2 linked regions of the Neurospora crassa OR74A genome follow. The protein of the gene in region 2 purifies or fractionates together with the protein of the main gene of each other region. This does not show direct contact. Links are inferred from orthologs where the notes say so. Each region holds a gene or a part of one and is shown on either strand. Other genes may lie near its edges.

Evidence for each region.
Region 1: the proteins of gul-1 (region 2) and NCU06389 purify together in Saccharomyces cerevisiae (affinity purification with mass spectrometry; 3 studies listed by BioGRID). This does not show direct contact. The link is inferred for Neurospora crassa OR74A from reciprocal best matches to the Saccharomyces cerevisiae genes SSD1 and PSY2.

Annotation. Positions count from the first base shown.
Region 1 is NC_026504.1:2,673,392-2,675,904, forward strand, and holds the end of NCU06389 (DUF625 domain-containing protein), read right to left. Parts: coding exon 2,281-2,513; intron 2,206-2,280; coding exon 953-2,205; 3' UTR 609-952; downstream 1-608. Other genes in the region: NCU06390 (hypothetical protein), read left to right, coding at 1-55.
Region 2 is NC_026505.1:3,211,978-3,216,291, forward strand, and holds the start of gul-1 (cell wall biogenesis protein phosphatase Ssd1), read right to left. Parts: upstream 2,906-4,314; 5' UTR 2,280-2,905; coding exon 2,156-2,279; intron 1,932-2,155; coding exon 1-1,931. UniProt on the Saccharomyces cerevisiae protein: Can suppress the lethality due to deletion of SIT4, and partially the defects due to BCY1 disruption. Is implicated in the control of the cell cycle G1 phase.

The sequences.
Region 1 (2,513 bases), on a different chromosome or scaffold from region 2:
AGCGGCACCGGATGGGAACGAGATGAGGAGAAATTCGAGGTTTTTGTGGCAATAAACTCTTATGAAGCATGTACTACATGCGGCATGAAGGGGTCGGCTGTTTTGTTCCTTCCTCTGACTTTCCCCCCTTTGTCGTTTCCACACATTTTCACAAAGTTTTCATTCAAAAGATTATGGTTATGGGTGTGAATATCACTTCTCTTTCTTCAGTATTCAAGGACGCAAAGAGATGAAACCAAAAGGAAAAGGCCAGACCCTTGACAATATCTTAGATGTCTTACTCCTCTCATATTACCGTGTTTTTTTACTTTCTAATTTTTTTTTTTTTTTTTTTTTTTTTTTTTTTTTCATATACTTCAAAAGCTAGTTGATGTTGGTCATGTGAACGTCTTATACCTCTCGCAACTTATAATCACGGGAATGGGCATGAATGGGATGGACAGCAAATGGCCTGGTCAGAGTAGCTGGTTATACTACTATACCTATGGAATCTGATATGAAAAAGCCGGGTTGACCGATTCAAAGCTCTAATGTATCGTATCGTATTGCATCGTATCGCATGGGTTGGCGGGCACCCATGCAGACCAATTGATATGGATGAATGAATGAAAATAATTTAGAGGAGGGAACAATGTTATCTGATGTACACTACTATGCTGTTAGTAGGAGGGGGGGCCTCATGAACCCCGGCCTTGTCGATGCGACTATACCGGGTTCAAGACGTGAACAAATTGTTGAACTGTAAATATACCAGGCTATATTCATCTGTTTGTGAGGTGGTGAATCAAATCGGTACGGTGCCAATCCATATCTATGAAGAATATATGTGTGTTTTCGCCTTTATTTTGCCTCCCTAAAGTTTTGGCTTTCACTTTCCGCCTTTCCCCTTCCTTGCCTTCCTTCCCATTCCCCCCTTTCGCGTTGCCTTCCTTGACCCAACCCAAGGCAGCCTCTAGTCTTTCATTGCGTTTGGATCTTCTTCTTCTTCCCCTTCCACTTCTTGTACCACTGACTTTGAAGTCTCCTTCCCCTCCTCCTTCTCCTCTCTTTCTCCTATCCTCACATTTTCCTTTCCTGATGCAGTTGTAGCACCCGTTGTTATTGAAGTTTCTTGCGCTTTATCATTCGCGCTAGTCGTTGTTGTATTGGGATCTGCCTCCGGCTCCGAAGGTTTCCCACCACCACCACCACCAAGCATGCTTTTGACTTTGGAAGAGATATTGAAAGCAATTTTCTTTGGTGTGCTTAGACTCGTAGTGACGGCGGTGGCAGCAGCTAGAGGGGAAGCAGGGTTAGGAGATGTGCGATCTGCCATTGAAGTACCATTGTCCTCGGTGGTGGCACCCTCGGCCGCAGGTCCATCATCCTCAGAGATACCCATCTTCTTGCGAATGTCTGCACCGGCGCTCGCGGCACTGGCATTGCTCCCTCGGCGCTTGGACTGCAGTAACTTGTCGAACGCATCGTCATCCTCGTCTTCTTCACGGCGCCGCTTCTCAGAGATCCTCTCTGGCGGGGTGGCGACAACGGCGGCAGCGGCGGCTGTGGCCGGCCCACCTTTTGTTGGTGTTACTGGTGGTTCGCCGTTCGACTTTGCGCTGTTGTCTTCATCGTCCTTCTTTGCTGGGGCAGTTGCCTCATCACCCGCCACGCCGTCTTCATCATCCGAGCCGTATTCGACTAAGGGCTTCAGCAGAGGAAGAGTAGTAGCGGTGCCGTTGGTACGATGGGAGTCATTTTGAGGTCCTTCATCCTCTTCGTCCGATACGCCGTTCCAGTATTCCTCTTGAGCCTGGTCGACGGTGAGTTGTTCCTCCATCAGACCGGAGGTCGGCCTCGTCGGTCTCCTTTCGCTCTCGGCCGCAGTTGGTCCCTCATCTTCGTCTTCATCCATGAAATACTCGGGATTGGTTGTGTAGCCTTCCGTCTGGTCGTACCGACTGACCATTTCGCGGAAGGTATCCATGTGCGACAGCGCCATAATCTTTTCCCGGTAATTTTCCACGAGGTGCTTAATTAGGTCCTTAACATTCTCCTTATTAATGAGGACGAAAAGATCGAGGCAAGCTGAACAAAGAAGGTTGTCGCGGGTAATCGCTCTTAATAGCACATCGAGAATAGGGCCGAGAATTTGCTTCTCTGCAATGTGCTTCATGTAAAATTCGTCGTTCATCAATACCAGTTGCTTGATAAATCGAATGGCCACTAAAAGCAGTTAACATGCAGGTTAGCCTCCTCTGCTCGACAATTTAACCATTGTTCCCAAGTTGCTGTGCCTACCGAGCTGCAGATGCTTTTGCTTGCATGAAAGCAACTGAACGAAGCGCTGTGCCAGACTGTGGGTGATGAGGAAGTACTTGGCCCTGTGTTGGTGTTGTCGGATGAAGGAGCAGAGTATGTCGTTCAGGTAGCCGAAGATGTACTCCTGCATGGGCTGGAACTTCAACTCCGTCTGCCCTTCGAGATCGAGCAGTGGCTTAAAAAGCCTGGCGGCCGAGTTTTCATAGAAGTGC
Region 2 (4,314 bases):
AAACGGATGCAGAGAAGTGATGGGCCAGCGCTTGATACAAGCCACGAAGATCTGGTCCGCATAGTCCTGGTGCTTCTCCACGAAGTCCTTGGGTGCTTGCTCGGTAGGAATGGCAATCAGAGGAACACGCTTGTCCGTGGGCTTGAACCAAACAATCTTGGGCTTCTCGTGGGAGCGCGAGTCTTGTTGGCGGCCATTGCCACCGTCTCTCGCAGCGCGTTCAGCTTCCTGCTTCTCCTTCGTAGCCTGACTGCTCGGGCGGAGCAGACCAAGGGTACCAGAAAACATTTGGCCGGGAACACGCTCAATAACAGCAACAATGTGACCAGCAAAGAGAGGCTGCTGCTCATCATTGATCTCCTCTTCCTCAACCAAAAGAAGACTTTGACCTTCAACTTCCACGTCGTCGTTCTTCTTTTGGGTAGGACGCTGTCTGAGGCTGCCACGGCGGCGGAGTCCCCCCTCAGCGTTGCCATTGTCGTCACCAGTATTTTGGCCTCCACTAATGGAGCCAGAACGAGTGTCGGTAATATCCTTGCGCTTCTTCTTTTCTTCCTTCTCGCGCTTCTGCGCCCACACTTCACCAACATCCAACAGCTCGACCGCAACGAGATCACCTTCGAGAGCACGGTTGCGATCCTTGCTGCCGCAGATGAAGATATCGGCGGGAAGCAGGCCATCCTGCGTCGAGACGTACGCATCGCTTCTGTTCTTCTTGTTCACGCGAAGAATACCAGAAACAAGCTGGCCGTTACCCAAGAGGGCAGGAAGAGTAGCTTGGGGAAGGTAAGGAGTGAAAAGCGTCTTGCGCTGCTGTTGCTGGCTTTGCTGACCAGGAGCAGCCATTTGAGGAGCGTGCTGGCTGGCGGCAAGACCGGTAAGTGGCTGACCATTCATCTGAGCAAGCTGAAGAGCCTGAAGCTGGTTGAGCTGCATCGGATTGAGTTGTTGGCCAGGGAAAACCTGGGGCATCATCATCTGACCGGGGAACTGAACCAGCTGAGGCTGTCCAGGATACTGGAAGGATCCAATCGAAGAGATGGACTGGCTCACCGAGCCGCGGCTGCGGTGACCGGGCTGGAAGCCCTGGCTCTGAGGAAGGGCAGCGGTCTGGTCCTGAGCCTGGTTCTGGTTCTGGTTCTGGTTCTGGTTCCTCCAGTTGCCGTCGAAGTTGCGGGAACCAGTGCGGGCATGGCCGCTACCAGGAGCGCGGCGGGAAAAGTCGCTGCCTTGGCCCACGGAGTCGGTAGAGAAATGGCCTCCGCGGCCACCACGGCCATTGGCACCAACAGCCATACTCTGGCTCCTGCCATGGCCGCCACGACCGCCACGGAACGACGATCCCTGAGCTATCTGGCCCTCCGCCGGAGCAGGAGTGGTGCTCGGGGTGGTCTTGGCATCATCCTCAGACTTCTCGGAGGAGCCAGGGGCAGGAGCAGCAGGGAACTGGAAGGTAGACGTCGTGCGCTTCTGTTGGGCGATCTCGGCGGCCTTCTTGGCATCAGCCAAGGCCAAGGAATGTCTTCTCTGATGACCGCCGCCGGATCCACCCCGACCACCACGACCGCCGGTGCTGTTCTCTCGGGCGTGACCCTGGGTGGGATCTTGGAAGTTGCCGAACGTCGAACCAGAGGCGCCGGCAGAGGGAGCAGGCGGCGGGCCCCCCATGCCCATGTTTGGAATGGCCGACTGATTACGGCGATGTGAAAGCGGTTGTGTAGGAGGAGCTAGGGGCGGCTGCTGCTGCAGCTGGACCGGGAACTGGAAGCCCGCCTGAGGCGCCAAACCGGCAATGGGCTGGAAGTTGGTGAATCCGCCAGGGCCCAGGGGTTGCGTGGCCGGAAGCATGCCGAGGTTGGCATATTGAGCTGTAATCTGCTGTTGCTGCTGCTGAAGGAGTTCGATCTGCTGCTGGATGGCAAGCTGTTCCACTGCACCGAAAAAAAGATCCAGTCAGTACGCCAGCGCATTGAAGAGGGGGATGAGGGGTTACAGTCAGGACACAAGACGGGAACGCGACGGGGTCAGGGGTACGATCATTGGCTTTTGAAGCTTTTCGCCACGAACAAGAACGGACCAGTGCAAGAGCGGTAGAGGGGCGCCGCGATAGTACACGATGGCAATGGCGATGACAATAGCAAAACTCAAAACATACTGTTCGTGTTTGAAAACATACTCATCAACGGGGTCAGCTCCGACGGGCTTCTTCGATGGGCGATATGGAGCCGTCGGCCGGCGGGGCCAGAGACGCCTCCTTGAGGCTGCTGTTGCTGATCCATGATGCAGGTTGTTGGGACGGACAGGTGCAGATGACTCGGGTGATCCAGGCAGAAAACGTGCACGTCGAGTGCGAATGCAAGGCGAAGTCGGCGTTGGACCTAAAGCGTGTGAAGAAGTAGTAAAGTAGAGCACGAGACGAGTCGAGTCGAGTCGAGTCGAATCGAATCGAGGCGTGGTCGACCGAACAGAGACGAGGGGGAAGGTTATTGAGCTGGGTTTATCTTTTTTGTGTGGCCGGATTGCCGTTGCGATGCATCAGATGCGATGGGAGTTGCGGTATGTTTGGTTGCGGTGCGGAGACGTCGCCCCAAAGGACAGTTTTGTTTCGCAGTTAAAGCGGATTGGATGAAAGAAATCAAGTCCAAAGAGGTTATAATGAGAGATTGAAAAGTTGCTACGAGGGAGTGTAGAGAGAAGGGAGGGAGGTGTCCGGCTTTGCTAGTTGACGTTGAAGCTAGAGGGAAGCCTGAAGCCGATGCGGATTGAGGTTCGTGAGGAGGGAAGGGGAAAGGGAGAGTGCAGGAGGAGGAGGAGTCGGAGGACGGGAGAAAGAGGTTCGGTGCTATAGGAAGTCAGGAGGACTGGGCCTTGGACCTGAGAGGAGGAGGAGGAGGAGGAGCAGAGCACTTTCAGCGCCGCAGCGGCAGTCAGCGAGAGGAACCCGAAAGGTCCATCCTTCGGCGGGCATCCTGGGCTGGCTAGGTTGTACCTAGAGTATCTACCTAGAGGTACCTACCTCACCTAGACTACATGCTAGTGACGAACTGATGCGTGAGAGGGAAACGACGGGACAGGATGGTGCCCGCCCGCCTGGCAGTCCGTCCTGCTGAGGTGAGTGAGGTCCGTCCCTCCTTGGAGGCGCATGCTGCAGGTGTACACGGTGCGGCGGCGGAGCATGGAAGGTCCGGGTTCACGGCAGGCATCTCTTACGGTTTCAGTTGCACCTATCAGCGGCGGTGCTGGGCAGTTGGCTGAAGTGGTGGGCTACCGTTAGTAGCGCCAGGATAGGTGCAAGCACGCAGGGTGTGAGGGTGGTGCACCGGATACCCCATGTGCGCGACACACCGTGCTCCTCTTCCCTTCCACTTACAACCCAACTACTACTGAATGAAGTAACCTTTGAGCCCCTTTTATAAAACCGTCTTTTCTTCCTGGCCTTTGTTCAAAAGGAAATCTGCACTCATGACATCCACTGCATACCTACTTCTGGAGTTTCTGTTCAATAGCCAAGAGCTTCGAAGAGTCGAGGACCGCGACAGGAGCATCCGGGGGAAGCTACACTACCTACACCAATCAACGATGCCAGTGGGGAAACGGTTCCTCAGCAGACTCGGGAAAATCACAAATGGCAGAAGTGGACACTCCCGCTAATCGTCTTTACCCCATACCTCATTTAGTTTAGATTCAGGATATCTCAAACATGGCGTATGCTGGGCGATGCTTCCCTGTCACGAATGTGTCTGCACAGGGACAGGGACGACAAACTCGAGATGTACTCGAAGATACGTGCTCGAACGTTTCTCTCGGGGAAACTCAACGGTGGTCGGAAAGAGGATCGCCAACCCATATCATGATGTGCCCGGCATCACCTGGGGAATATGGACTGGCCTTGCCGGCGTAACAGGGAAGACGTCAATGGTGATGGTGATACCCTAAACCCTGGATCGACGCGAGTACACCGCATACTGCAAGACGACAGCCGTGTCTCCCGTGTCAGAAGCTCCGGCAGGCTTTGGGGGTCTGTGTCTTTGGATGACGGTACGATTCGTAAAAGAGGTTGAAGAGAAGAGAGACACGGATACCTGCGGGAACTAATGGAGTTGCTATCTGCCATATACAAAGACCACAAGCTGACCTTCTTGACGATATTTGCTGTCCACAGCACCAATGGATCAAAGTAATACCTATGCAGTAACTTGCGATGAAAAGATGAATCCTTGATTCATCACACATCCTGCATTAAAGTTCGTTTGAGATGTCAATAGCACGTTGCCTTAGCTTAGCTTCGTAAGTACATACAATGGCGACTTCAAA